4 linked regions of the Medicago truncatula genome follow. The main gene of each other region encodes a partner of the protein of the gene in region 4 in a complex. Links are inferred from orthologs where the notes say so. Each region holds a gene or a part of one and is shown on either strand. Other genes may lie near its edges.

Region 1 (8,029 bases), on a different chromosome or scaffold from region 4:
TGGTAAGTTAGAATAAAACCTAAATCAACACTCTCTTAAAAAAATCATTACTTGATCAAATTAAACAATATAATCCTTTGAGATCATGTATCAATATCTATGTTAAAGGTACGAAAAATTGTGTATTCATCAGTTATTAGTTGATCCTAATCCTTCAATAAGACTGCTTCATGGAAAACTGTTTTCCTATGAATCATGTGTTGCAAAAATACATCTCTAACATTTCGCCATTTCGGTCAAGCCAGTAAATCTAGTAATCTACAACTAAAACTTTCCTACCAAAGGGAGAGGTGGATTACAAAATCTAGCATGGCATATTTTGCAACAAGAAGTTGGTTCTATGTGTCAAGTATGCAGCGCAGAAGGCACAGATTTACCGATAGAGAGAGCAATTACCAAAGATATAAATTCAAAGACTCAGAGAGCAAATGGCCAAAATACCAAGTCAGTGTCTTGTTACAACGCACACACACAATAACCAAATATGTTAATGAAAAAAGGAAATATTTTAAAACATGAGAGGCCGTGCCCCTGCAAGTATTTTACCTGAAATAAAATGCAGAAAATAAGAAAATACATTTTTCCTTTAAATTTATGGCAAAAAGGCCTCTCATAGGTCAAATAAAAGCCATCGTAAATATATAAAATAGTAATAATTCTTTTAAAATATAACTTGCACGTTAATATTCAGTATTCACTTGGCTAATTTTGTATTAAAGGCAATGTACATTTATGCACACATCACAGCATTACATTTCAAACTCTAATAGTAATGGATGAAAAACCAAGGCCCCGTTTGAATATACGGCTTAATTTGCAACTTAGCGCTTATGATAAGCTATTTTTATAACAAAAGATAAAGTAAAGTTAAATTATTTTCATATAAGCTATAAACTATTTTCATAAGCTATTTTGTAGAGAGCTGAAAACAGGTGTTTATGTCAATAGATAACCTCAAATAAAGGTTGGATTAGCTTATTTGAGCTTATTTACTGAAATAGGTTCTGTGATACTGTATGGGAGAACTTAAGAAAACAGCTTATGACAATTTTCAAAGCTTTTTTCAACTTATTTTCATAAGTGCTCTGATATACTCATAAAAACAACCTATAGCATATACAAAAACAATTTCTTTATTTTATCTTTTGCTATAGAAATAGCTTATGTGAACTTATACGTAAGCACTTATCATGATAGGTCAATCCAAACAGGCAGCAGATAACATCTGTGAGCTGATAAATAATGATTGGGAACATGTAAAATCTTGAATAGAAAAAAGAAAGAAAAAAAACCTTCAGTGTGGCTTTTCCTCGTCCTTCATGAGAATGATCTACTTTAAGAACCTGAACAAGTTCACAATATAAAAATAAAAAATAAAAAAAAAAAAGTCTTCAATAACAACATTGAATGAATGAATAGAAACTGATAACAACTCGTCAAGAAATGAATTATTACCTCGTAAATGCGCCCTGGAATTAAGCCATAAAATTTGTGAGTAAGAAGAAAATAACTAAATACGCGTAAGAAATTGATCAAATGAACAATCAAATACGAAATTTCAATTGAATGATAATAGAAAAAGCAAAGTAACCTTGTTTTCCGATCTTTTTTCCGACTCTGATCTGCAGTGAAAAATGTAAAAAAGTATAAGAATCGGTAAAGATTTAAAAACAGTGAAAGGTGAAGGTGATGCGATGCGTACATCAGAACCAACGATTTTGTTTCCACGTCGTTGAATGATGGACCATGGAGTGGTGAAGGAGTTGGTGGCGGTGGAAGAATGTGGTAATGAGTTTAGCGGAGAGGAATAAGAATGAAATTTGAATGATGAGAGTGTAAAGAGAGATTTGAAGTTGGAATTGTAGAGGAGTTTCAGTTTCTGCTTCATTGCAGCTTGCATTTTCTCACTCGAGCTCGCGCCGGAATAACACAAAAACCCTGGGTACCAAGTACGCACGCACGCACTTCTTAACAGATCGATGGAATATGAATATTATGACAATTTTGTGATTGAGCTAACGGTCTAAACTGTGATTTAAGTTTGAAGTTTGTAATAAGATTGATGTTATTTTTGTCGCATTCAAATTCTCTAAATTTCAGGTTTGTAATAAACTAATACTCTAACTTATTTTGATCATGCTTTAGTCATTATGTCACATTATTGTCGCATGTCACAGCATCTTATCTAATTATTTTCAAGGTTATTATTGTTTTTACATGTCATCCGGCTCTTAAATATTTTTGTTGACTAAAGTGGATTCAAAACCCCCGTTGTTAGGATGAATACTCTTATTGCAAGAGTTTGACTTGGAAATTCGAGATAAGAAGTGAGCAGAGAATGTAGTGGTGGATCACCTCTCGAGGTTGGAAAATAAAGAGTTGACCACGAAAGACAAAACTATTGTAGCAGAGTTCCCAAATGAACAGTTATTCGCTATCAGTGGAAGGTCATGGTTTGCAGACATAACAAATTTCAAAGCAGGGAACTTGATCCCCAACAATCTGTCGCAACAACATAAGAAGAACTTCTTAAAGATAAATGTGTGGTTGTGTAATGAAATGAATCAAATCGTTTAGAGAATGAACAACATATTTATAGGAAGAAAAAAAAATATCGTAAACCCTACAACGTTGCCAATAAAGTCAACAATTGTATGCATTTTTTATAAGATGAACAGTCATATATGAGATCGTGTGTGAGAACGTAAGAAGGGACATATATATTGATTCATACAACACCAAGCCAATTACCAAAAACACTATCCAATTTTTTTGTTACAAATCCACTAACAAGAAACTAATTGTCAAAATCATCTAAAAAACACTCATATAGCACGGTGGTTGAAATTTTCCAACCATGCCTTCATCATCTCAAAATCAAAACACCAATTGCATGAATTTAATTGAACTCTCTCTCTCTCTCTCTCTCTCTCTATATATATATATATATATATATATATCTTGTTATCCATTTTCGGTTTCAATTTACATTTTTTCCCAATCCAAGGCAAGAAGAAGCAAATAGTTTGTTTAAAGAACATAAAATTGAAATGAGTGAGGAAATTATGGGGTGAGTTCTAAATTGGTAGGAAATCGAAACTTAGTCACCGACACGGTGGTGTTAAGCTGCGATGAGGTTAAGAATCGATGGTGGGTCCAGATTCTGCAAGCTTCTTCTTAACTGGGTTCCGAGGACTATTATGTTTGAGGCGTCGAAACTGGTGGTGGAAGGGGGGACGACGACCCTTTGATGGTAAAATGTTGGAGGTGCCAAAATGGATGGTGGAAGATGAGGAGAATAACAAAGCTTTAAAGGAGGAAGGAAGAAGGCTTCAAAGGAGGAAGAAAGGAGAATCATTAACTTGAGATATGTGTCTGTGACTTTGAGAAGAGGAGCAGAGATTTGAGTTTGATTTAAGTGGTGGTGGATGACGGGGGAATAAGGGAGAGGGAGGATAATAGGAAGATGAAAGATTTAAAGGGTATTTTTGCAATTTCACGTTTGTTTGAAAGCCTCAAGGGTGTTTTGGTATGTTCCCACCATCTTTTATTGAGTCAACGAGCCACTTAACCATATTTTAGTCGTCGTTGTTATTTTTTTATTGATACTCAATGAGATTGTGGTTATCTCTTTTACATGAATCCTCAATGACTTCTTCCTTTTATAAAGTTATTTATAATTTATTATTTAACGAATCGTTGCAATCCTAAAAAAAAACAATCGTTGTAACAAAACACTCACCATACAAAAAAAAAACACACACGCTACATCAATTTTCTTTCTTATTTGTAAGTGACACAAATCATCACTCAAACTATAAAGCTCTTGACCCGACAATCAATTGCTGCGTCATTTTAGTTAGTTTATCTTTGTTTTATTTTTGAAAAAACACTAAAAGTTAAAAGATTTTACGCACCAATTAAACAAAAGATCGTTGACTAGTTAAACTGGTTTGAGCTAAAAGATTAAAAAAGTTAAATTGTTAAAGGTTCAAGTTTTAACAAGAAAAAATATTAACATAACAATTAACATATTATCGTACGGTTAAAAATGATAATTAACTGCAATCGGTTCCATAATTCGACACTTAACTGCCGATGAACATTTCAGTAAATTATTCGTGTGACACAACTTTATACAATGTGTCAACAACAATTATGAATAAATACACGATATACAAATACTAGTATTTTTTTTTTTTGACACCGATAAAAAGTAACATTGTCCAAAAAATACCTTGAGTCTAATTCAATGCTATATATAAACACCAACAACTCTTAACTCTGTCATGAATACTGGAACTAAGTTAAGCGCGGTCACAAATTTCAACTCTATCGAGAAAACAAAAAAAAAACCCTACACTCGAGTGATCTTTGCGGGAATGCTGAATGAAGCGATTTTCGTAATCGCTTTTCAGTTTAAACGGTAAGCGAAGTAAGTATCAAATCAAACTCAGTGTTACATTTTCTGAATCAGATTCCGAATTCGCATTTTCCGTTTCGCTTTTCTAGAGCAGAAGCACGTTTACGCTTCATAAGTCTCACCCAACCCTAACGCAGATCCAAAACCCTATTCAATTCACCGGAACCGTTCATCAGCTATGTGGACCAACGTTTTCAAAATCGTACGTTATTTCTTCTTAATCTCAATACTCTTCTTCACCAATTCTCATTATTTTGCGTGTTTAGCTGGAATATGATAGTTTAGGGTTCAATTTCGTTTTAACCTAGTTAGTATATCACAAAACATGCTTTCATTTTTTCAGCTGTAGTTAATCTCATGATGATTAAGTCGGTTAATTTGTTTATGAACCGAAAACTTTGTAAATTATCTCATGTTTATTTTCACACAAGGTGTTTGTGTTGTTTTAGTTAGATTTGGTTTGTGAATGTTTAAATTTTTCTTGTAGATATATGTTTTATACAAATGAAAAACTTATTTGATTATGTTACTTGCTTTTTTCTTTCTATTTCATCATATACTGGAATTATGATTTTTTTCCCCGATCAAGCGTTGTTAGGGTTTACTAGAGATTACGTATTCGCTAAGTAACTACGTCATTCGATATTTGGTTGCCATGGGCTGGAACACTGATGATTGTGACTTTCTGTCGCCTTCATAATCACGTTTGGTATTGGTCCTGTTGGATTATGTTAATGAAACTGCGAGTTAGCTATATCACCCTAGCTGGTATGTGAATTGCCTGATCAAGAACTCGTCTTATGTATAAGATGTTTCCTTTTCTTTTTGATCGGTATTAGTGGCAATGAAAAGCCGTGTGTAATAAATAACACGGATATGGCAAGAAAGGTGTTCGGCGGGTGACCAAATTACTAGGAGGCGACACGTGTCCTATCCGACTGTTATTTTTTATTTTTTTAAAATAAATAGTAAATACATTAGTAGAACAATAAAGTATCGGCTCGTATTAATGCTAGGATGATGACAAAAATATTGTTTACTTGCTCGATCATGTCAATTAATGTTGTGGATCGATATCAACCTTCGTCTTGGCCCACCTGGTTTCATAATATTGTTCTCAAATAGTGGATCTATTGCGTAGTGGAATTTTAACAAACTACAATTGTTACGCTATATGCGATTTAATTGTGACACTATAGCGCAGCGGAATTTTAACAATCTACTATTGTTACCCGATATGCGATTTAGTAAAAAGCACTATCAAATAGTGGTATAGCATAACAGAGTTTGAACAAACCGCTATTTCATCGTTCTGCGATTGACAGCACTAGGATATATAAAATAGAAGAAAAATTGTCTGTTAGTCTAATGAAAGATCTCAAGGTCAAATCTCCTTCTCCAAGAATAATATCATTTTTAGAAATGAGTGCAAAAGGTTAAATCTCAATGCTGCTGTTTAGTTAGCTTTTACCATAAATTAATGTATATTCCATGCTCCTCCATTTTTGTTCACAATTTATTTGGTTGTCTTTATATTTATATAACTATGTGTATATTGTTTATATTTATATAACTATGTGTATATTGTTTGAAATTTGTACAGGGTAGTCTGCATCAGATATCATGGTTTCAGTTTCTCCCTCACGAACCTGATCTGAACCCTCTACCTGACAAAAGGTTGGAATATATTTTCTATTTCTCTCCTTCTTTCTGCTTCACTATTTTAATATTATTTATGGGCCATCTTCTGTTCAAACAGTGTAAAAGCGGACCAGAAGGATGCTGCAATGTTAGTGGTGCTTTCATCACATTTGCAACTGCAGAAGGAAGGATTTCTCAGCGCATGGACCAATTCTTTTGTTGGACCGTGGGATCCATCTCAGGGTTTGCATAATCCTGGTAGAGATTGCTGACTTATTGGTTTTGTCATCTGTGATTATTTACAGTTTTATTGTCTTTTTAGCAAAAGGAAAGAACGGAAATGGTCATCCATTTTCTTGCTACCTAAATTTCTGCTTTCTGTACTTAACATGCAGATGAAAAGATTAAGCTGTGGCTTTTTCTTCCGGGGCGTCATTTAACAGTTTCTGAAACTGCTCAGCCAGCTTTAACTGGATTACGAGGTATCACACTTAACAGAACTGTTGTATTGGGCATATATGTAATACCCCGTTAAATAATAAAGTTCAAACAATATACAACAAATATTTAATAATATAACAATCCCATTTATAGATACCGGGATGTTACAGTATACATTTCTTTCGTCAAAGATAGTGGCTTTGTAGCTTTTATACTTCTGTGTTTTTTGAAAACACTCTTACACGGGAAAGTTTTTTGGATGAAGCTGTCGCGTCTGGGCTCTGGCTCGCTCCTGGGGATTCAGAAGAAGTTGCAGCCGCTCTCTCTCAGGCTTTAAGGAATTGCATTGAAAGGTTTTTCTCCCCCTCAATTCTTCAAAGTGATGTTAAATTTGGTCATATCTTGCCATTTATCTTGTTGAATTTGGCAGAGCACTGCTTGGGCTTTATTACATGAGATTTGGAGATGTATTCTTGAAGGTCCATCAATTTCAAAGTGAAGAACTGCTCAGGTATATTTTTACTGTACTTAGATTTAACACTTTTGGCTAAATTAAATCTAAATATTTCACTAATATTTACAGGGTTATGTACACACACACATATAACAAGTGAAATATAATCTGAAAAGGAAACATTATCCTATAATTTTGGAATCAAATCAGTTACCGACTATCTAAGGGAACTACGAAAGCTAATAATAACGAAATCTGATTGCAATCAACAGTACAGAAAAAAAAAGTGTTAGCTAGCCTTTACTTTGTCCCCGGGCAAGCGGAGATTATTCTCACGTTGTCAGTGGGGAACATTGTGGGCAGCCAGCAATGATCTGAATAAAAAAAATATTAACTTGTTAAAGAGCAACAAATGATGTGTTCCCGTTAAAAATGTAATAAGTTATTTTATAATAAGTAGTTGAGTCAGGATGCATTGACACCAGGTGTTAATGTTTATATTGACACCAAATAATAGCTGTTGATTTCTCTTAATCTAACGTCTCATATTCACTCACTTAAAAAGTCACGTGGTGTCTTCTTCTGGATTTTACTCATCGTTTTTTCCTTCTAAGTTATTCTAAAAAGAACCTCGACGTTGATGCTTCATCCATGTAAAAAGAAGCTCGACGTTGATGCTTCATGCATGTACTCTACTATTTAAATCTTAATTACACTATTTGTGTGTAAAACAAACAGTGATAAAGAAAAATTTCAATGCTCTGTCTCCGAAGTTTGTCAAACAACCTCAGAATAGAAAAGCTGGAACCGTTTCGAGGAATCACCGTAAAAAAAAGAAGGTAGAATGCAAAGGAACCAGATCTACGAGTACAACCACCGTGCTACTGTCATCAGCTCACTGTGCCACTGTCATATATATTTTTTTAGGAAGAATTTGCCGTCTTCACGTTCAACCACCGCCAATGGCACACCCCTCTCTTTTGTCACCCAGTTCGCCCGGGGCAGACTTCTCCGGCCTCCACCGACCTAAGGTCGGCGAATTTGTTCATATTCTATTCGCTCTCTCTCTC
Region 2 (8,220 bases), on a different chromosome or scaffold from region 4:
AAGAATACTTATTTTCAAAATTTACCTGCCCCAGTCCTTGTTGCATCGCAGATTGCCTATATTGTTGCTGAGCAAGAAGTTGTTGCTGCTGTTGTTGAGGTAACTGCTGCATTAGTTTCTGCCGTTGTTGTTGCTGTTGTTGTGCTGTTAGCTGTTGCGGCTGCGGTTGTGGGGTTTGCTGCTGAGGGGATGGCGTATTCATCATATTTGTAGTAGACCTAGGTGAATTGGCATATGGAATTGGTGAAGCTGTTGTATTGTCAAAAGAAGTGGCGCTGGTTGCAGCAGAAGGAGATGCAGCTGATCTTCCCAAAAGTTGTGATCCCGATGTCTACATTAGCAATAATGTGAGAAGATTAAAAAACTTACGACTAGAAAAATCGATATTTTTCATAATTTCAATCCACCAAATGAAGTAATTAGTTCTCATTCCATAGGTTTAAAAGTTCGGCAATGAGGGAAGTGCACGAGAGGTAAAAATCAAATAGGCCAGATGAGGTGAGAGTTTGAGCCTTCTCCCAATAAATTAGTCTGTCCCCATTGTTACAGTCTAGTGGTTGGTTGTGAGGAGGTTTCATGTGGGTGCCTGGGTTTGATCCCAGGTTTTCCACCCTTCCCCCTCCCTATGTGTATGTGTGGCCCCTCATCTATAGAAAAAAAATAGGGTTAGATGAGGAATCAACCATGCAGCGCCGCTTAAAGTAGCTGTGCAATTTATCAAATTTTATTGTCCTTCAAGTTCAATCTAATAAGGATCAGATGGGTTTTCAAATATAAAATTAAAATATGAGACTATGACGTAGAATATTTCAAAATCGCGAAACCGGATATGAAAAGGTAGAAAGCAAATCATTTGAAGCAAGAAAATCCAAAATCATAAGTAACCATAATTCACATATACCCTTTATTTACAGTATTAAAAAACAAGAGTGAAGAAGATAGTCAAATATCCATTCATAAAACCTTCATCGAAATGTGAATGACCAGACCTGTAACAACGAATTTTGGCCGCCCATACTGTTTGATGACAATGGGGTATTCTTCATATACACATCTGAAAGTAATAGTATATATAAATGCCACTCGAAGTCAAATTATAAAATCAAAATATTTTGGAGATGGAGAGTTAAGAAGAGTGATTTACTATTGCTAGACCCGTCAGGAAAAGATTGTGCACTCTCGTTGACCGTAAATGCGTCTGCCAAATGCATAGGAAGTGAAGCAGTTATATGCCTCTGGTCTCCAGGTATCCGCAATCCTGCATGAAGTTCCATTATATCCAAAAAAATCACCATAAAGATACAGATTTAGAGAGTCATTGGTATGAAAGTTTAAATTCAACAAACAAAAACTTTATTCAAGGCAAGCCAACCAATAGCACCTTCTTGTACTCAAGAAGTCCTTATGAGCTAAACCAAGTCTAATGCAAACAGTGACAAATGTACATTAGCAGAATTATCCATATGAAAGAAATTTTAGATCTTAATATGTATTTAGAACAAGAGTGACCATTGGTTGTGATATATCTATAAATATATTTATTATAGTACAAGGCGGAAGCAGGTGAAATTATTACCCTCGCCAACATTGACGGCAGCTCGGAGTAGATTTTCCTGTTCTTGAATTTTGGCAGCCTGACCCTTGTCGAGAGTGGGGGCAATGGCAGGGCCCTGACGAGTTCCAAAGCAGTAAGCTTTACGAGTGTCAGCCAATACTTTTTCGGCACCTTCACAGGCTGCGGCAATCATATCAATTCTAGCCTGCAAGAGGGAATGAAGAATGAAGAGGGAAGAGGGAAGACGGAAGAGGAAAGGTAGATGTGAAGTGGAAAGGGGAGATAACCTTCAATTTGTCAATTTGAGTGGCAATTGGGAGGTTCTGCATCCCCTGAAGCAATTGATCTCTCTTCAAGGTGTCCTCCGTCTCCATTTCAGGGAGTAGTTTTGTGGAGAGCATAACAGGCAGTACTGATAAAACATTGTCACGGTGATTTGAAATGTGAATGGATGAAAAGTGTACAATACATATGAGATATTATGTGTTCATACTTGTAGCATTTTCGGCATTGACATTCTTGGGATAGACTATGAAAGCCTTGGAGACCTTCTTGATATCGTCAACGATGTTGAAGAGTTCGAGATTGACCATGGAATACTGACCCAGAATATCTTGCCATTTGGGATTGGTGTTGGTGCGACCATAGGCATCAAAATCTTCGAGAATCCTTGATATAGCTTTGAACAGGCTGATAGCACGTGTCTTTACTTGTTCTAGGTTTAGCTGCTGCTGCACTGCCTGGTTCAATCTCTCCTGCTGCTGTGGCTGCGGCTGCTGCACCAACTCACCCTCCATTCTTCTTCCCTTTTCTGTTTGTCCGTCCCAATCCCCGCAACGCAACAACTCTTGTTCTCTCTCGAAAATTAGACCACAGACAAATATAGAGTACTGCAGAATAGAATAAAAGGTTAATCACACATCAGAGGAGCTGCACCAACTCGCAGTAGCCACATTTTCAGTTTCCATGATTATCCTATTCCTCAAAAAAAAAAAAATCCATAAAAACGCTTTGTTTGAAAAAGAATTTGCAACAGAAAAATGTAACACAATTTCCCAACATAATCCAACTTGATATGTCAAATCCTTCAGTTTTCAATCAACAATAAATCAAGTCAAACGAAACAAATCACAATGGTTTACATTTACTTTTTTTTCCCCCTTTTAGGTGGCAATAAAACAGAAGCTTCGATGATTGATTAACTCAATTGAAATTGTTTTTTTCTTCTGATTTTACTGTGGTTGATATGGTTTCACATTATCATATAATGATGTGTTATCACTTTTTGAATGCATTGATGATTCTTATGAAACAGTGGTTTGCTTCCAATATCAGTGACAGTGAGGCAACACTAAAAGTTAAAATCAATTTCAATTTCAGTGCTGCTCTGCTATCACTGTCTTAATTCAATTTCAATTTCAATATCTGATTCAATTTCAGTATAATAATTTCAAAACTGACCTGAAAGAGGAGAGGAGAGCAACGGTTGTGGGCGGTGGACGTGGTGGTGTTGTTGGGTTCGTGACACTGGAAACGCGTGTGTGGTTAGGAAAGGAAAGATGAAGGAAAGGAAACGCGAGCCTGCTGTTTTTTTTTCTGGGTTTTGCAAGTCGGAGAGATAGACACAAAAATGAGCAAATTGTCCCTTTGATCCCTGACTCAGGATTAAATACAAATAAGTCATGACTCTGCACTTCCATTATCACTTAATCCCTTACGTTAAAAAGATCTGTTAAGTGATGATGTGGCGCATATGAGGTGTCACAGGGACCAAAGTGAAAGTAGAAAATGGTCATCGTAGTCCATGAACCAAAAATCAATATTCCCAAATTGAATATCAAATTCCTAAATCTCAAATCCCTAAATGTCATCTAATTATCTCTTTTGTTCAAAATTAATCTTCCATTAAACATAACTTAATGTTAGGTCCCTGACTGTGCATACTTACTATCAGTTAGATCCCTGACAAATGAATTAACAAATCCAATAGCATCTACTACTCTTGATTATTGTTATATTCACGTGATAATTCATATCTCTACCTCGTAGATCTCAGCATACACAGTAATCAAGAGCTCAAGATATATTCAAATGATAATTCATTTATGTTGGATTTTTTTTAACATAATTTCTAACTTGAAATTTGTTCTACATAGTAGGTACTAGTGCTACATCTAACATAAGTTGTTTATGTTTCCAAGTTTATTATCAAATTTCTCACTTTAATTTTTTTCTTTCATGAGAAGCTAAAGCAACTAAAGCATAAGTTCTTTCATGTAACTTAATATGCATTAGTTATTCAAATCTCTCCACAAAAAATTGGATACTGTTGTTTAAAGACACATAAAAAAATCAAGCTATGACTTTAAAATACTTACGGGGATTATAATCAAACACACCGTTCATAATTCATTTATCTATATATGTAATCCTGATGTCATTATATACTAAAGGGAGAAAGAGGTAACGGAACCACAACACTATGGCACTACTAAAAAACTCCAAAACTTTAGCCCAACATACCATTGCCTCAAGATCAGCTTTCAAGCCAAAAATGTCCCAATAGCCAGGGACTTTAGTGAAATTTCGTGTTTACTGTCAGGGACCTAACTGATAGTAAGTATGCACAGTCAGGGACCTAACAGTATGTTGGTGTTTAATGAAAGATTGATTTTGAACAAAAGAGATAATTAGATGACATTTAAGAATTTAAGATTTAGGGATTTTTTATTTTCAATTTGGGCATATTGATTTTTGGTTCAGGGACCAAAGTGACCATTTTCTACTTTCACTTTGGTCCCTGTGCACCTCATATGCGCCACATCATCACTTAACAGATTTTTTTAACGTCAGGGACTAAAGTGATAACGGAAGTGCAGAGTCAGGGACTTATTTGTATTTAATCTTGAGTCAGGGACTTATGTGACAGCGAGCTACATAATCAGGGACTAAAGTGACTATTTGCTCCACAAAAAATAGATGGTGGGTCTTACCACTAAGTGGGTCCCACCATCATTAATTATATTTTACTTTTTTCAATATTTTATGTGTATTATCTCTCCAAATTGAAGAAATGGAGAAACACATAAATGGAGAGGATTCTAACCTGTTTTTTTGTATATATTTAGCATTCAAGAGAGGGTAATGTATATTTATGTAAGATTGGAGGGAGTGAAATCCTCTCCATTTATGTCTTTTTCGGTTTGTACCATTTGGAGAGACAATGACACATGAAAAATAAAAATAAAAATAAAAATAAAAACTAATGATGGTGGGACTCGCTTAATAGTAAGGCCCCCAACCTTTTTATGTGTGTATCTATTTTTAAATGGCATTCTCCATTTATTTTTATAAATGAAGAGGATCTTAACTCGATTAGAGGATGTTTAAGGAGTTAAAATCCTCTTCATTTTTACCATTTGAAGAGATAAAGACACACAAAAAAGTAGTAAAGAATAATCCACTACATATTTTATATCTCTATCTCTCTCCAAATTGTATATTTCATTTATTTTTATAAATGGATAAGATCCTTACCCGTCTATGATGGGAAGAGGAAAATGTAATTTGCTCTAAAAATGATTTCTTAATAATAAATTAAATTTAAAAAAATATTTAATAATAATTCAACTATTATTCCAAGTTTACATGTTTAATAGCTAAGAATTCTCATGACATATTGTTTAATTTTGTCTCTTTTTCGTACAATCGTATTGTTGTGTCTGTCTACTTGTCATACGACTGGCCACTATCATATTGTATAAATAATGGTGATTTAAACTTTAATGGGGATTTGCCATTACTAAAGAATCTATAATGGTTAATTATAGAAAAAGGTGACGATGTGATACGATTAAAGCTTATTCGTTTTTTAAGAAGGATTTTTTTTTTATAACTTTTTAGGGGAATTTTTTATAATTATTCTCAATAAAAATAATGAACAAAATAATAACAAATATAATAATATATTTGAAAGATTTAAATAAATAAATAAAGGGTTCAGGGACCAATATGAAAGTGAAAAGACCAATATAAAAGAGTACTGAAAGTGCAGAGACTCATACTAAAACTTCGGAATATTTTAATTCTAAAAATTTTGTCTTTTAGTGTGTTATGTGACGTGTAATAATTGGTTCACATGACACACGTTAGCTTTGCCTTTTTTTAACTTGGACTTAACACAAAGACCAATTGTAAATTTTTTATAAAGTGCATGGACCAATGTCAAATACAAAAAAGTGTAGAAATTAATGTCAAAATATGATCAAAGTGCAATGAAGAATGACATATTTAAGACATGATTGATACTATAAGAAGAAGAAAAAGTCAAAACAAGTTAGATTTGAACCATATATATCTACTTTGTTTGATTTTTTTTCTTCTTATATCTAAGACGAGTAGTAAATTATCATCCAAAATTGTAAGCATATCTTAAAACAGTCTTTGGTTTTTGTGAACTAACAAATAAATTCATGTAATAGTAAAATGTTGGGTTAAATATGTTTTTGATCCCTATAAATATGTCAATTTTTCGTTTTAGTCCCTCTAAAATTTTCCTTCAACTTTTAGTCCCTATAAAATTTTCAATCACTACTTTTGGTCCCTATTTTTAATTTAATTTTTGTATTTTGTAATGAAATTGTGCAGAAATGTGTCAAATATTCTATTTTTTAACAAAACACAAATTAAATATGAATTTTTAACCATAAACAATATAAAAATTCATATTAAATTCATGTTTTGTTAAAAAAAAAATTAATTTTTTTTGGAGTCATTCTTATAATATTTTGAATTTTTCTGGAAAATTTTATTAAATAATATGAATTCTACATATGAGTTTACTTTAAAAGAGGGACCAAAGGTGAAGATTGAAAACTTTATAGGGATTAAAAGTTGAAGGAAAATTTTAGAGGGACTAAAACGAAAATTTGACATATTTATAGGGACCAAAAACATATTTAACCCTAAAATGTTTGTGAAAATAGTCACTTGATTATTACCCTTAGACTGTATGACATAGAATCTCACATCATTGTCACCATACTATGAAGTATAAACTAGTTTGTCTATATTGAAATTTATATGGAGTTTTGGGACTAATTTATCAATAATTAGTTCATGCATATTTGTAATTATTGATAAATTACTTCGTAAACTATTTAGTCCCTAATAAGTTGACAACATGTATTGGATCAACGTGGGGACATATCTAGTTAACATAACATGTCATAATCTTTAATGATAGAAGCTAACAGAAGGATCATTTTGAATAGCATTTTACAATATTGAGAATAAATCTGTCAATTCGCACGACTGCTTCGGGGGCATTGATTGGAGTGTGTGGTATGAGTAAAACAGATGCAGATGTTGCTAAACGTGCAGCCACACGACTGCTTGAGTTGGATCCTCTGAATGCACATGGTCATGTGACCCTATGTTCATGCTTTCTCATCTGGAGATAGATTAGATCCACAAGCAGAAGAAATGTTGCTACAAATTTGAGGAAGACAATATCCTTAGCACAACACTTGTACATAAAGGGGCTTTTTTGACACAAATATGTCACTGCTAGATGATAACTGACAAGGCAACATCTTTGTTATTTCACTAAGATTTTCCTCGTTACTGCTATATTATCAGAAATCTGGGCTGAAAATCTTTAAACCAACACGAAAAGTTGTTGCTTAGGTAAAAATTAGACGACTCTCGAATTCTCCCTGGTCTGTCAACAAACTAAAAACAAGTAAAGCATTCAGGACAGGAATTTATTTCTGCTATGATTGGTAAATTACTAAAATAGGTTGCAACAATAACAAAACCTACGTCAAATTCTCAACCGCCAACCATAGTATCATTCCCTCCTATGTATGTTCCTGCCTAAGTCCTGTTATAAGTACCCATTCGTATTCCATGTTATATCCAATTTGCATCCTTCCCTTTTATTTGTTTCAGTTTCTCTGCACATGCAATGTGGCCATTGGTTTTACGTGGTGCACTGTTTCTGATATGGAACAATTTCCAAATAACATATCATCATTCCTACTCGACATTAATACTATAAATACCGAGCTAGCTTCAGTCATTTACATTCATCATCTCAATTATTTCTTAAGCTATTCTACTCTAATTCTTGGACAATGATATTTTTAATATCTCACTTTTCTCTTAAGTCTGTAATTGTTGCTATGATCTGTAACTGTTTGCTTCTATTGATATCTCTTGCAACATTTTTGTATGTGCATCACACTTATTATCATTATGCAGTAGTGTATTTGTTAATAAAAATGACAATTTATTGATAAGGTATTACTCTTTAGGTCATTCATATGAATGCTTGTTATACTTCTTCGGAATATTTATAACAGTCAAATTGATAGGTCTGATAGTATCAGCATTCATGGCCACAGTTCCTTTTTTTTATGAACACAACTTACATGCTGATGCAATTGCTTTTAAAATAAATTTTAAGTATCAAACCTATCATTGTGAATTCAACCATTGATCTGTGAGTATCAGACCTATCTGATGATGAGAACGACAGTGATGCACATATCAAAAAACATCTTAAAAGCTGCCACAGACTATGGTGATTGAATGAAAGGCATCCTAATGGAAGCTGCCACAAACTGGGGTGCTTGACTCTAACATGGATACAACCTTCTTCA
Region 3 (7,564 bases), on a different chromosome or scaffold from region 4:
TGGGGAGATGATTTTTGAAGCATGATTCATAATGTTCATGAAATAATACTTGAACAATAATTCTCAACCAACCTTAATATTTTCCTAAAAAAACTTGGCAATAAGGTGTATTAAGGTTATAGCTTACAAGTCACAATAGACAGGTTATTTTTTCATCTTATTCTAAAAAAGAAGTAGCCTTAATAACTTCAAGTCAAAACAGGAAAGAGCAATTGGAAATGCTAAACAATGAATAAGTAGTAGGTTGAAATAAAAAATAGCTCGGACTAAGATAATCATCGAACGGTTAGGCTAAGTTAAATGCGGCAAAAGCTAACACAAACATCCTTAGAAACTGCTATCAAACAAAATATTTATAAAATTGTTTATAATAACAAGCATTAAGCTTAGCCGCAAAACAACAAAGGCCATGAAATTGTATATAATAAGGAAGAATGTAATAATAAAGGCATTCAGCTATACACAAACCAAAGAATTAAAGCAACATAAAATAGAAACATTAACTACTCCATGGAATCAAAACTGGGAGCATACCAGCCCAATTGATCATTAATTTGCTTGAGTCTTGCTTCTTGACCCTTTGAATCTCCAAATGCAGTAGTGAAAGGGTATATATAAGTCACTTTTGCTGCCATACACCTAAAGGCAACCACATCACCTTTCACCAGAAACTCAAGTACGTCTCTATCAAATTTTCCATCAACTTCAGCTTGCAGATACTGTCCTGTATATTCATTTTAGCATAAATCAAGTTTTGCCTAGTAGCTTGTAAAACCAATGTTTTAATTAACTGAACCATACATCAAATCAGAGAGACCTATAGGTCATGGTTCAACAACTTTAAACAGCTCAGATATAGACGAAACTGCAATCGGATCGTTCAAATAACCTAACTGTAGACAGTGCTGATTCACGATTCAAGCAATTGAACTGTCTAGTTTGGTTCAGTTTTTAAAACATTGTGTAAAACAATTAACCCTTCCTTATTGTCTTTGGCCTGACCTAGATAAAATCATTTATAACGTAATACATAAAATATATTACAACTTTCCTTGTTCATCACTAGAGTCTAAGAATAAACCATCAATTTATTTCTTAAATTATCACACTCTCTTCAATTTAGTCCTGAAAACGTATAAAAATTATAAGTATTGAAGTTGAATTCGAATCCCACATTGACAGTGTTCCTAAGTTGTGCAATGTGCTGTGTGCATATGTGTCTGTGCACCTTCATCTTACCAGCTAATTTTTGAGAGTGAGATTCAAGCTCATTTGACAAGGCTTCAAATCTGAATTTTGTAGGGCATGTGGAAAACGAACCTAGGCATTGTATATAAGTAGTGCTTGGACTCCCTCATTTGATGAGCTAGCTTTTGGAGTCCATTTAACAATAGTCCCTAAAATATATAAAATTCGTCATCTTAGTCCCTCAATTGATGGTTCTTTTTCTTATACTTCAATATTATTTAATTATCATGTTCTACATTTTCATTGCTAATTGGCTACAATTTCTAGCAAATAACAACAACACCAATGGTAAATTGATCAAAAACAGAACTGTGTTTGAATTACCATCTGGGGTATCTTCCACGGGCTGAAATTTCACATTTTTCTGAGTCTCTAGAATTGCTTCACGTAGTCTCTGAAAAAGAAAATTATGAACAATCACAACATGAGATAATAAAAATACACAATGCTTTTTGAACTCTGAGTAATAGCTTAGAAACCTGAATAGCATTATCCACTGAATTTTCAGGAACCGTCCAAGGAAAATCAAAAGATGATGACTTCGGGTTTGTTGATATGCAACCAGGATTTATTGATGGGCAAGGTCTAATTTTTCTGCAAGAGAAAGGTTACAAATAATATTATATAGAATCCATGGTATTAATTATGAAGCATATATTATATAGAATCCGTTAAGCATACCCATTTTCTAATCCAAGTTGCAAGTTTTTTGATTGAGAAAAAGGGGTGGTACTAAGAGTGGTTGGAGGGGGTTGAGAATTGAGGGAAGGGATTGCATGAGAAGGTAGTGGAGATGTTAATGTTACAGCAATGGCTAGAGAGAAGAGATTTGGTAGGAACTTTTGTTTATTATCAGAATTGAGTTTGGGAATGGTGTTAGTGTGAGTTTGAGGAAGAGGATGGAGAAGACGAAGTATCAAACTCATGATTTTTATGGAGTCTTCTATCCACTCACTGCATCATGTTTTTGCTCCATTCTTTTTCAGCCATAGGTGACGATTGTTCTGTTGAAATGTTGATCCTTTCTGAAAGGCTGTTATTGTTCACCACATAACAAAAGAAAAATATAATGTATAAGGTCTAGGATTTGTCAAAACAATGTAGTTAGAAAGAGAGATCTTAATAAAGATGGTTAATTAAGTTCTTCCACGAAAATTAAAGACTATGACTCCAATAGTATAATTACAAAAGTGAAAGATCTCAATTGTCATTTTTTAGTTTGATTAAAATAAAATGTAGTTGATGGTATCCATAAATTTCAAAACAAACACTTATAAGAGCTTTCCTATATACTACGAGAGATATATCGTGAAGACATCACGATAAGATACATATCAATCATAATATATTGTTTTGCGCAAAACACGATGTTTGGGTGCAATACAAGTGAGTAAATACATGCAGTACTCTTTTCGTGAAAATTTTGCTTGAATTATGTCGCGATAAATAACATTTAGAACTATATATTTGTCCTTCAATCCAAAGAGAAAGGTAAGCAGAGTATAATTGTGTATCATTCCTACTATTTGAGGAGGTATACGTAATGGAAGGGATAAATCTTTGAGGAGTCGGATCATTCAGTATCGAGGTTGTAACGTTGGTAGCAATCCCTTCCATCCTTGCTTCTTGTCTTTGTCTTCGTATTAAAAGTCGCTACTTGCTGGTTGTTGCAGAGACGATGATCCTCTAACTAGGTCAAACATCTAATGGATTGGACTTAGGCTCGATGCCTAACAAATCATGGCAATCAAATTCCATCCCCGATTGTCATGCTTTGAATCATATTCCACCTTGTTTCATCCTATGTTGCCTCGCTTTGAATCATATTCCACCTTGTTTCATCCCTCGTTGCCTCGCTTTGAATCATACTCCACCTCGTATTGTTGAAACTATTATAAATGTGGACAATCATATATTTCTTATTATCTCGTCTTATTACATTAAACCATTTTTCCCTTACAAGTCTTATATTTGGGGGATTGTGGATTGTCATAAAAATATTCCCATTTTGACCCATGCTTGCTTCATGCTCTTTGTACTCGACCCATACCCATATGATAATCCTCATATTTGACCATACTACTACTATCTTGAGAGCTCTCTTACTCAGTCAAACCACTTTGATCCTTTGACATGATATTAATTGCGTAGTGGAGTGATTTCTAGAAGATCCCTAAATAATAAGAGAGGAAGTTAGGGTGACAACTCCTATAAATAAAGTCCAACTACTCATAATTGAAATCTACATCCTTCACTATCTCTACAAACTTGGGGTTTTTATCACGATACACTATTGACAAGATCTTACCTCATAAAGAAAATGAAATGTCACAACTCTCTTTTCTTATACAACATTTTTGTCCGAAAAAGTTTAGAAAAATAGTTCAAGTTGATCTCACCGCAAATCATTTGGGTTAATTGAGATTCAACATATACATTATAACTTATATTTTTATAATTTTTCAAATCTATTATTCATTTTAATAATAATCATAGTTGTAAATATATACTTATATTTAATCGTAATAGACAAAACAGTCGATATGTCCGAGTGGTTAAGGAGACAGACTTGAAATCTGTTGGGCTTCGCCCGCGCAGGTTCGAACCCTGCTGTCGACGTTTTCTTTTTTCATCTCATTTTTAATTTTTTCCGCCATGCTTTTGTTTTTTCTACTCATTGATAACGATCAAAGTTAGGGTTTGCAATTCCTGAGACTCATAAGATAGATAAACTTCGCATTGGAATGGAAGAACAATCCATAAACGGCACAATGTCAACCAAAACGACACAAGATTTAGCAATTGAAGGTCACAAATACTTAGAAGAAACCATACAACATGCTTTCAAGATACTATCTTCCATGAACGACGAGCTTTGCAATCCCGTTTGGTGGTCCACTTCTCCTTCCTCTGCTACCTCTCCCAATGCTCCTTCTTCAAACGGTGACGCCAATTCCGAGAATTCCGGCCAACACGCTGACGGCGCTGCTCCCAGTGGTGGTGCTGGTGGAGCTCTTGATGAAGCTCGTTTGAGGTATAAAGATGCTGTTGCTGGACTTCGGAGTGTTCTTGCCGCTATTCCCAATTCTCAGAAGGTGCAATTTCGAATCCCTAGTTTTCTAATTCGGGTTTTATTGTGTGTTCTTTTTGTTACTAGATCTAGATTTTTTGAATCATTGAACTTTAGGTTAGTGGAAAATCAATGAATTGGCAAGTCCAAAACTTAATTTTTAAACTCTTTTCTGCAGCAATAAGAGTTGCCAAGTTCATTGTAAAGATTGTATTCCTAATCTTATTTTTTCTTAAGTAACTATTCATCGATGCGACACACAGATTACCTTTTGCTATATATAGGAGAGAGAATCAAGTGAGAACTCATGCTTCTCTTGCACAAGCTCTAAATAACAGCCGCTCAATCGAAATTAATGGTCTGATCTCATTAAAATGTCACGCGTCTCCATATTCTCATCCCCTACCTTCATCCTCGCTTGACATATGCGCTCATCTTTCTTTGATGCAGCTACAATGAATTGCTTAATCAAATTTCAAAATGTAATTTGATTCTAATCTTTTCTAAAAATATTGTTTCCAGGCCAAGTAAAAAAATTAGGAAATCACAAAAATAGTTGAGACTAAACAAAAACAAAGATGCCACAGTCTTGTATCAATGAAAAGCTCGTGGTTATAATCATTTAATTCAATTAAATAAAAGGTGGAAAAAAATTGTAGGGTAGTCTTAGCGTTGATAGGTAATGGATAGAATTATGCAATGCCACTCATGAGAGACCATCGATTAGAGCATACAATACCGTGTTCATATGACAGAGTGGATAGTATTGTTCAGGTTAATGAACAAAGGGGAAAGATTGAAGATCACTACATTTTTTTTAATCCTAAACATTGATTTTGAATCTTTGATTAAACAGCTACTATTGATGGTTCATATGTATCACAATAAATATAGGTTATCACTTAATATGCTCCCTTTTTTTGGCACACACTTAATATACTTGTTCTTATTTTGTTTTCTATTTTATAATATTTAGATAGGAAACCATAAAAACAATTCAGTACGTCTTTCAAATTTTTTTCCGAATATTTCAAAATAGGAAAGGGAATGAAAGCAATGTGACATTTTTTGTAATTATTGATAAAAATTGGAAATTCGTAAATCACACAGGTCCTTTAGTGGTCACTGTGACTAGGCCATGCTTTGGCATATTCTTTGCGATTGATGTTGTGAGTCAGTTTCATAAGTTCATAACTCTCCTAGTGGTGATATCTGGGATGCAATTATCTGAATTTTGTGATACTTTAAGGTCTCTCCCAGGAAGGATTTAGTATTAGTATATCACAGGCAATGTTCATAAAATTACAGTCGTGTATAACGTTGTTGACTGGGATGGATCTCCCAATCAAGTAGAACATAGTTGCCAACTCATGTGGTGAACTGGAGTATTGAGTCATAACTCGCTCTACGTTAGAACTTTTATAAATAGAACAACTCCAATATGAAATGTGATTTATGTTAATTGTTGAAATTTGGGGCCTAACTCATCCTTAAAAAACCGGCTTGTATTAGTATTAGTATATATCACAGGCAATGTTCATAAAATTACAGTCGTGTATAACGTTGTTGACTGGGATGGATCTCCCAATCAAGTAGAACATAGTTGCCAACTCATGTGCTCAACTGGAGTATTGAGTCATAACTCGCTCTACGTTTGAACTTTTATAAATAGAACAACTCCAATATGAAATGTGATTTATGTTAATTGTTGAAATTTGGGGCCTAACTCATCCTTAAAAAACCGGCTTGTAAGGTGAAGAGTGCCTCCTCTTTATAAACTCTTCTCAAGAGGGCTATCTATCCAATGTGGGACTAAATCCACCCCCTCAAAGCCAACACAATGAAGGTGTTGGAGGCTGCAATGAAGGCTAACCAAAGGTCGCAATTTAGGCGACTAGGGGCGGACCGCAATTAAGGCGGAATTTCCAACATTAATCTGTGATGATCTACCAACACCTCATATTGCTTCAAATCTGGCTTTCCGTACGATATTAGGATGAGCTAATAGAAAAGGACAGCAGGAGGTATTAGGATGAGTTTCTTCACCTTGAGTGAAAATCTGAAAATACTTCAGATTCAGAGTTCATCACCTTGAGAGGAAATCTGAAAATACTTCAGTTTCAGAGTTCGGAGATATAAATTGAAATCTTAGAAATGAAGTACGACTACATGATGGTATTTTTTTCTACATATGCACAAGGGCTTTAAATTTATACCACAGATAAGTTTAACACATGATATTCCGGTAATAGCGTAACATGATGAAAAATTTGAAAACTCCTATTTATAGAACCTTATAATGTTGCAGCACCGATTGGAGCATTGAGTGGGCTAACGAATGAATTTTGCTTTTTGACTTTGACTATGTTTTATTACTTAAACTGCTTAAATTCAATAAGTAACTAGCTATAGTTTTGTTCTCTGAATTTTTAGCTAATGAATTGTGAGTTTCAATTCCTTTAGATATCTTTCTGGCTTGGTAAGAGACAATAAAAATCTCTTTACACCAAGGTTTGGTTTGATGTCTTTTTAAAATGGGGTTGAAAATCTTAACAGCGACTAAATGAAAAACTTCATGAGACTGTGGTAAATTACTAAATAAATTCCGAACTCACTATTTTTATATTATTGCACCTCTATTATACTGCTAGGAAAAAGATGCTGCATTAAAAGAAAATTCTATTCAGAAATCAGTGTCTTCCTTACATAGACTTAAGACTCCATATTCTGTTAAATGATCGGGGTTATTGACTCACAAACGTGCATCTTATTGCGAGCTGTATGACCATCATATTAGCTAGCAAAGCTTTTGTTTTCCTGTTAAACTAACTTGGTTAGTATTATAGGCAAACACATTTGACGGTGGTTCAGCTGACAGCCCTATGGACGAAGCTGAAATTGAGAAATTGGAAGAGCAAGCCTCTTCTTTGAGAAAGGTTTGTTGTATTAACCTCTGTCTCTATCCTTGATCACACTCTTTCCAAACCCCAAACATCGAATTTATTATTTTAGTCTCGGGTTTTACTGTTTTAGTTCATCGGAAAATACCTTTTTCATCAAACTATGTCAGCTGCAGTTAACAGAATCTAATGACATTCTTATGATGCGTTTTATATTTTTAGTTTATTTCTGAAACCCTGAAACAATTTCAATTGGGAAAAGCTTGTGGATTCTTGACTGAAGTTATTAAGAGCCTGTCTCTTTTTTTATTAATTATATTGTTGTTAAGCATTGGAATTTCAATCC
Region 4 (8,167 bases):
AGATATAGTAAAAAATATATATTCATTAATGGAAAAAAAAAATAATGGTATATTAAAATTATAAAATAACAAGCAATGTGAGATGAACCTCTTAGATTTTTTTTTTAATGATGGATATTATAGAGTCATTATCCTAGTTGACTTGTCATTGTAATTGTAAGAGACTTAAAAGATGCTTTCTCTGCCCAAAAACATTGCCAACTTTTCTGCTTGTTTGACTAGCCCCTCTCTTCTTATCTTATCACTTTCTTTTACCATTGTATACAGCTTTTTGGTTTTCTCTCCAATCCATTACTTCATTTCCAAGGTGATGATCAATAAAGGGACAAATCTTTTTTCATTAGAGTTTTTTGCATGTAAAGATGTAACAAAGTGATTAGTAGTAGTTTATTACGTTAGTTGGTGTTTCCAAAGTAATTGTGCATGAGTTGATTTTGGTGAAAAATAAAGTGTTTAGTAGCGAGGAAGGTGAAAAATAATTATGAAGAATGCTACAAAAAGTGTCAAATTATGTGTACCATCCTCCTTTTAAAAATGAAATGAGCAATATAATCACAATCAGCCCAATGACAAGATTAAATAGGGTAAATCCACTCGTCTTACAAAATCAAAGATCAAGTGCATACTGTGTACAATTTATTCTTTTTGTAAAAGATTACATTCTACTCCAACCCCCTTTACTAAAACTTACCATTAATAGTAAACAACAGAGTGGAACACTGATAAAAATGCATCCAAAGTGAAGCTACTAATTGTGGCTTCCGAGAAATTGCGGTGAAATGACCCTTTAAAGGTGAAAATTGAAAACTGGAAGCCGAACCAAATGTATACAAAACTACTTCACACCAAACCCATGTCTTGGCGAATTCAAATTTTGAAAAATAGATTAAAAAACCACTCAGCTGGTGTTTAGCTTTGTCTCAAATCTTCATAACTTCTTAAACTACAGGAACTTTACAAATTTAATGAAATCTTGCTACAAGGACTCGACGAGGTTAATACAGTATCTTCTGTAAAAACTATAATTCGCATATGGCCTCTTATCTTTCGGTTCAACTAACCGAATAGCAGATACTGAACTATGCTACTTTGAACTTTGGAAAAGATAGTTATTTTGTGGACTGTTGAGAAGGATCTTTTTGCTCTTGTTTTGAACCAGTCACAGCTGCAGTTGCTGCTGCTGTCATGGCAGCTGCAGCCGCGCCCATCTTTACACCACCTGCAGCCTTCATTGCACCTGCTATTTTAGCAAACGCCGCTATACCTCCAACAAGGATGGCTCTTAATGCAACTGTTGGTTTTACTGCCATAGCTACTAAGAAAGGGGTAACCTGCAAAATGTAGATCAAACTGATACTTTTCAAACTAAATAGTTTCACAAATCACGACACAAACATAGGATGATCATGACATGCTACATTAACACCATCATGGTTTCCATCAACCGAGCAACATTAACAACCTAAATGAATGCACAGAGACTATGATTTACTATTTACAAACCTGAAATGGATGAAAATTCATTATATATATATATATAGGGGATGTATCAAATGAGAGGACATGTTATTGTGAGAGGATGAGAGGACTCATTTATAGCCATTTAGTTCAAATTAAACGGTTCAGATTTAATGCTCCATATAAAATTAATTACACATGATATTTTATCCCCTTCTAATTCGCTTCTCTCCCTTACTCCTTCTCCTTCCTCCTTCTCTATCGGTTTTCACCTTTCTTCTCTATCAAGCTCCATGGCTCAAACCCAATTTGTTGTACCAGACATACACAGCATGATAAAAGAAAAGATAAAAGAAGTTAGTTTTGCCAACATTATGATATAATGTATTCTTGCCAACATAGAGAGTGATCAAACTTCACTTTATGATATAGTAAGCCTGGAGTCCAAAATAGAGAGTGATCAAACTTCACTTTATGATATAATGTATTCTTGCCAACATTTTAAATTTGCTCCGATTAAGCTTTTGTTAAAAGATTTGAAGAATGGAATGCCTAACAAAAAACCCCTCAAAGACTAATCCCTTACAGAAGTTTAAATTTGCTTCAATTAAGCTTGTGTGAAGATCTGAAGTATGGAAGGCCTAACAAAAAAATCCTGGAAATTTAAAATGACAACAAACGCACCCAAGCCTCCAAAAGGTTGGTGTTGAAAGTACATCAGAATTTGTTAAGACCATCAGAAGTTGATGGTCTTAACATTTTAAATTTGCTTCAATTAAGCTTGTGTGAAGATCTGAAGTATGGAAGGCCTAACAAAAGCTTAATTGAAGCAAAAGGTTGGTGTTGAAAGTACATCAGAATTGGTTTTCGCTAACATCTATCGTCCAAAACAACTTTGTCTATTGGTGGACTCTAGCTTTTATCTCTCTATTTTTTTTTACTGAAAGATCACATATCATAAGCCAAAACAGCTTTAACACAACAAAAAAACTAAATCAACAATTCCAATGTTTCCCATCCATCATCATTACAGAAACATTTTTTTTTTTTTTTCCATTTGTCCTATTTCTTCCGGTGTCATCAAGGCGCTTCAGAGAACCATGTCGAAGGAACTCGGAAAAATGACACAGTAACTTCAGGAGAAAGGGAGCTCTCTTGTGGCTATGATTTACGGAAGTATCCTAGGAGGCTCAAACTCAAGAGGAAATCACAAATAATAGCGGTTTGTTCAAATTCCACTACATGACTACACAACAAAGCTATCATCTCCGCTATTTAACAAAATGTTGTACTAAATGGCGTATCGTGGAACAATGCCGATTTGTTCAAATTCTACTGCGCTATAACGCTAAAATAGCCGTTATTGGACAGCGCTGGCCATCAATCAAGATATCTCATTCTCATTATACTAGTCTGCAAGGTTTGCATAGTTGCATCATATGGGTGGCAGGGTCGGGAGAAAAGGACTAATGTGGAAGCATAAGCCAAACTCAATGAAAATTATAAGGGTGTAAAAAAAAATAGCATTGTACAAAAACCTCTTTTTCTCAAACTCATTGAACATGAATTAAGTTGAAGCATTGATAAGTTAAAACTTAAAAAAGTCCTCTTTGTTTTCATTTTCCAGTATTAATTAACTTCTAATATCACAAATTCACAATCAACCCAGCTAAATAAACCCTAGAAAAAACATAATTTTGCCCCAATTTATAATCTTGATCAAATTCTTTAGGAATGAATATCTAACAAAACAATTGAACATACAATTTTGATGGCATGTAGAATATATACTACGCAGCCAGTTGATTAAAGCTTAAGAGGAAAAAGAAAAAGAAAAAGAAAAAAAAGGGGGGGGGGGGGGGGGGGGGGGGATTAAATTGAAAAATAGTGAAACCTGGAATTGAAAATGGAGGTTGATATGATGAAACCTGAAAGATGAAAAACCTTTAGAAAATGATTATTTGAGGATTGAAATAGAATTGAATTGAACAGACACAGTGAATCTAAACCTTAATGTTTCCTTGTACCTCGGACCTTGAAATCAGGAGGTGTTGTGTTGTTTCTTTCCTGCGGCTGTGTTTGGTGGTAATAACATGAAGGGATTTTGAACACAGTTTTTGTCCTAATTTATGATTTATAAAGGGTTGGTTATTTTTGGCCCCATTTTAATTGTTACTTTACTTTTTTTTACTCAATCTCAAAACAATGGTGGCTATAAAATATCATTATTATTTTTTATTAATATATTTTTATTTATTGAATTTCACCTCATTTAATCATTTTATTAATAACAATAATAATAATTAAAAAGACTATTTTAATAAATAATACTCATTTTATCATTGTGATCAATTTAACTAATTATTTGTCTAAAAAAATCTAACTAATTATTTTAAAGAATCGCGCACAACCCAAAAATAATAATTAAAATAAGACGGAGGAAGTGAAAGACTAAAATTCTAATTACTTATAGTAGTTTAAAGTAGAACTTTAGAAATTTGTAAGAACTTTTGATTAGAATTTAAATGGATTGATATTATAATTTTTATAGGATTTTAAATGAATTTATGATTTATAAGATTTAAAATGATCGGCTGAATTTCAAACAAATATTTAAAAGAAATGATAGGACACTCATTTCTATTTAATATTATTATAATACAATCATTTTTAATTGTTAAAATTCAAATAAATTTCACTAGTTTTTGTCTTTTATATGAATTTCAACAAATAAAATAAAACTGAATGTCTTGACAAAAAAACGAATGTGTTAAAAAAATTGCAAAATTATCGGAGTCCATAAAAAATAATAACAAAATAATAAGATTTTAATAAGAAAAGTTAAATCTCATAATTTAATATATTTTAAGTACTACTAGAACACGTTCCTCTCTTGCGAGCAAGCTTCACAAATTAGTACCTTTAATTTTAGCGTTGAATAATTTGCAAATACTAGATACATCTTTAGATAAGTTGTTTGGAATTGATGGGTAAACCATCACTCAAGTAGTAATCATCATGAACATATTGAGTTTGACTTTGACCTAAATATTTCTATTGTAGATAATGTAAGAGATGCATCTAACCAAGACTATGAATCCAATTCTATTTGATGCTAAAAATTAAATCACAATGTTATTAATGATATAGAAATAGTACTTGCAAACTTTTTTTTTTTTGTAAAGAACTATAAATTTTAGTTTCTGTTGGTTAAAAAATACTCCATCCATCCTGCAATAAATGACCTGTTTGAAAATGTGTAATTTTGATCTATCTTATTTTAACCATATTTTTCTACTAATATACAAAGATAAATAATATCATATAAGATGTCGTTAGATTCGTCTCGATGAGTATTTTCAAAATATCAAATTTTCATAATTTTTTCTAATATATTATTCAAGATATTTAAACTCAAAATTACGTATGCGTAATTGGGTCAACTGTCTCTGTTATTTAGAGATCGAGGAGAACACTTAAAAGAGGGATCGAATTGAAGCGAAGGTGTAAGGATAGAGCAATGGAACATTACTCTTCTCCCGGAGGAACATGGACGATGATCCCAACCCCTAATTCCAATCCCCAAATTCAATCTCAATCTCAATCTCAATCCAATCAAGACCCAAATCTTTATCTTCAACAACAACAACAATTTCTTCATCAACAACAACAACAACCTTTTCAACAATCTCAAACAACCCAATCTCAATTCCAACAACAACAACAGCAACAACTTTATCAACAGCAACAACAACAACGTATTCTGCAACAGCAACAGCAACAGCTACAACAACCTCAACAGCAGCAGAATCTTCATCAATCACTCGCTTCTCACTTTCATCTCTTAAATGTATGTTAACCCCTTCAAAAACCCTAATTTTAATTAATTTCAATTATTTTCACATTTTATTTAATTAATTGAAGATTTCTTGTTGTGGATATAGTTGGTGGAGAATTTGGCTGAGGTTGTTGAACATGGAAACCCGGATCAGCAATCAGATGCATTGGTATGACTTTTTCTATGTAACACTCACACTTATGATACGACACCCACACATGTGATTAAGTTGAATTAATTTATTTAATCAATATTTTTTTTTACGGGTGTCAGAGTGTAGTGTCATGTCTGATTCATAAGGCTTTTTATTAATTCGTCTCATGGTTATTTATTTGAATTTGAATACATTACTCATTATGTTAATTTTGTTGGTTGAAGATCACTGAATTGAGCAATCATTTTGAGAAGTGTCAGCAGCTGTTAAACTCAATCTCTGCTTCTATTAGCACCAAAGCTATGGTATCTCTTCTTTACTTCCTTTTGTTATGCTTTGATTTGATTTAATATATTTATTTTGTGTGCTTGATCATCAATGTAGTAAGAAAATAGTCAGCCGTTGTATTGGTAAAATTCAATGTTTATAGTAATAAGCTATTAAGCGAAGTACATAAAGAGAAGTGATTCGTTGACTCTAGGAGTAAGTATTTAGTGATACTACAAATCCTGACCTTAAATTTGTTATTAGTAATGACTGTGATTGATTACTATTATTACTCACGTGATACTCCTCGAGCCTGCACATGTGAGATGGCTTAGGTTTTAAAAAATGGAGAGCGATACCTTTAGATTATCATCAAAGGCCTATACCCACAAGCCATCGATTATGGTTATAAAAAGGATTACACACTCTTCTTAATCTTGATGCGGTTAGGTAGGTGGATTTGGCAGCAGCTACAGGTCTGTTATATCAGTTGTGGATGGGGGTTTTTGCTGCGTTTCTCTCTGTTTAGCGTAACTGCAGTTTGGTTTTTCTGGTTTTTTATGTTTTCCCGGGGTGCCTTTTCCTCCTGCTGTCTGTTCGGTTGGCATCAGGTTGGGAAGGAGCATTTCGGCCCCTCTTGTAGTTCCTCGCCGTTTTGCACCTCTGGTGCGTGGCTATTAATGTTATGCTGTTTCAAAAAAAAAAAATCTTGATGGTGAAAAAGTCAAATTGGGCTTTTCGGTGTTCATTCCAGTGTTGTCAATTGCGGAATACGGAAAATAGTCTTATGTTTGAATTTCCCTATACTACCGAGCTATCGCGCCACACTAGCAGCTATTTGACAACACTTTGTAGTAAATAGCTGATTGCCGAACAATAGCGTTTTATTCATATTCCGCCTGTACTGTTATCGAATATCAGCCATGGAGGAAATTGGTGGCCGTTTTGTGGCTCTCCGCAATGCCCAATTTTGGCAAATATGGAGGGATTTTATGCCATAATCTGATGTGACGGCGCCACAAAGCGGTCGGTATGGTGGGACTTTGGTTCTCTGCCACATACAGCCTTCTGCCATAGACAACACTGAATTCCATTATGCTATAGCGCTGTAGCTGCTATTTGACAACACTTCGATTTGAAAGTTCTATTTTGATCTTACCACAAATAATTGGGTATTCTGGCGATTATAGCATCTGATTGTGAAATATTGGTCATGCTTTTTTTTAAATTTTATACCTAGTCTTTGTTTTCATATCATTATCTCGATGGACAGAAACACATGGTATATGACATACCTTGATGATTAGAAAAGGAATGAATAAAACAAATGATTTCAATGACGCAATACATAGACTCAAGAAATATGGCCCTCATAAATTTCTGCAGGTTAAGCTGTTTTTTTTCGTGTAAAGTAACAAACAAACTAGGAAGGTGATGTTAGAGAAGAAAAGAAATCAGTGACTAATTGAAAAACCACTTGAGAGAAATCAATGACTAATTGAAGTATTTCGGTGTAACTCTAAATACGTACTCTCATAGATATGTGTGTGATTTTGTGTCTAAATTGACATTCTGTTAATACTGTTTAGCCCTGGCTTCATAGATAGTCAGATTTTTGTTTTTAATATTTATTTCCGGTCCTTCTAATAACGAGGAGTCGAGGACTCTTAAGACATTTGTTAAAGAATCAAGATTTAGAAAGCTTTTATTGAAAATCAAAGTATTCAAAATTCAATGTATTATTATTCATCTCAAAAGCTCCACTTCTGATTTCTTGACATTTTCCTTTTTGTTTAATAACATGCCCTGTGCATGATAAACAATAATTGCTGATGTTATTAATAAGAAGAATGATTCGTCTGCTCTCAGTTTTCTCAATGTGATTGTCCTCGAACCATTAAAAAGTTAAGTCTTTTGCTAGTAGTTTGAAGCCGGGGTTCTTGGCCTAACTTATAGCTTTTCGGTTGCTTAATCCAGACCGTTGAGGGACAGAAGAAGAAGCTGGAGGAAAGCGAGCAATTGCTAAATCAAAGAAGGTCTGTACAAATTGTATTAAATATCTCTGCTTGGTTAAGTCCATAGATTCTAAATACATGCTGTTTTCTTCTATTTCAGAGATTTGATTGCCAATTACACAAAATCTGTAGAGGAGCTTGTCAGATCTGAGCCATAAGAGCCTGTAATTCTTTTCAGACAGGTAATGAACCTTATATGAGATTTTATTTGTTACTACCTCCGTCCCTAATTACAAGGCCCTTTTGAAAAAATAACGGGAATTAAGATAGTGGATATTTGTATTAAATATGTTTGTAATTACTATTGTTTTTACAATTTTATCCTTTAAGAAAGAGGGTTGGCTTATGTTTTCAACATTCTATTTATTGTTGATTGAAGAAAAAGATGTATAATGGAATAGGGGCATGTATGTAAAGAAATAATTAATGTAGTTG

The links.
Region 1: mediator of RNA polymerase II transcription subunit 9 (region 4) and mediator of RNA polymerase II transcription subunit 13 share a complex: the UniProt entries of both Arabidopsis thaliana proteins name them as parts of the mediator complex. The link is inferred for Medicago truncatula from reciprocal best matches to the Arabidopsis thaliana genes MED9 and GCT.
Region 2: mediator of RNA polymerase II transcription subunit 9 (region 4) and mediator of RNA polymerase II transcription subunit 8 share a complex: the UniProt entries of both Arabidopsis thaliana proteins name them as parts of the mediator complex. The link is inferred for Medicago truncatula from reciprocal best matches to the Arabidopsis thaliana genes MED9 and MED8.
Region 3: mediator of RNA polymerase II transcription subunit 9 (region 4) and mediator of RNA polymerase II transcription subunit 30 share a complex: the UniProt entries of both Arabidopsis thaliana proteins name them as parts of the mediator complex. The link is inferred for Medicago truncatula from reciprocal best matches to the Arabidopsis thaliana genes MED9 and AT5G63480.

Annotation. Positions count from the first base shown.
Region 1 is NC_053044.1:41,139,420-41,147,448, reverse strand, and holds the start of mediator of RNA polymerase II transcription subunit 13, read left to right. Parts: upstream 1-4,281; 5' UTR 4,282-4,435; exon of another isoform or gene 4,436-4,560; 5' UTR 4,561-4,601; coding exon 4,602-4,625; intron 4,626-6,026; coding exon 6,027-6,100; intron 6,101-6,182; coding exon 6,183-6,322; intron 6,323-6,459; coding exon 6,460-6,546; intron 6,547-6,770; coding exon 6,771-6,858; intron 6,859-6,935; coding exon 6,936-7,016; intron 7,017-8,029. Other genes in the region: elongation factor P, read right to left, coding at 1,293-1,343, 1,456-1,469, 1,592-1,622, 1,703-1,900. UniProt on the Arabidopsis thaliana protein: Component of the Mediator complex, a coactivator involved in the regulated transcription of nearly all RNA polymerase II-dependent genes.
Region 2 is NC_053046.1:4,594,525-4,602,744, reverse strand, and holds the start of mediator of RNA polymerase II transcription subunit 8, read right to left. Parts: upstream 3,183-8,220; 5' UTR 3,017-3,182; intron 2,446-3,016; 5' UTR 2,353-2,445; coding exon 2,049-2,352; intron 1,968-2,048; coding exon 1,843-1,967; intron 1,761-1,842; coding exon 1,577-1,760; intron 1,259-1,576; coding exon 1,145-1,258; intron 1,055-1,144; coding exon 990-1,054; intron 332-989; coding exon 26-331; intron 1-25. UniProt on the Arabidopsis thaliana protein: Component of the Mediator complex, a coactivator involved in the regulated transcription of nearly all RNA polymerase II-dependent genes.
Region 3 is NC_053044.1:48,894,789-48,902,352, reverse strand, and holds the start of mediator of RNA polymerase II transcription subunit 30, read left to right. Parts: upstream 1-3,920; 5' UTR 3,921-3,992; coding exon 3,993-4,343; intron 4,344-7,164; coding exon 7,165-7,254; intron 7,255-7,564. Other genes in the region: thylakoid lumenal 17.9 kDa protein, chloroplastic, read right to left, coding at 504-724, 1,573-1,642, 1,728-1,842, 1,930-2,174. UniProt on the Arabidopsis thaliana protein: Component of the Mediator complex, a coactivator involved in the regulated transcription of nearly all RNA polymerase II-dependent genes.
Region 4 is NC_053049.1:5,735,072-5,743,238, reverse strand, and holds the start of mediator of RNA polymerase II transcription subunit 9, read left to right. Parts: upstream 1-4,918; 5' UTR 4,919-4,978; coding exon 4,979-5,308; intron 5,309-5,402; coding exon 5,403-5,465; intron 5,466-5,674; coding exon 5,675-5,755; intron 5,756-7,694; coding exon 7,695-7,753; intron 7,754-7,832; coding exon 7,833-7,890; 3' UTR 7,891-7,914; intron 7,915-8,167. Other genes in the region: uncharacterized protein, read right to left, coding at 1,110-1,310. UniProt on the Arabidopsis thaliana protein: Component of the Mediator complex, a coactivator involved in the regulated transcription of nearly all RNA polymerase II-dependent genes.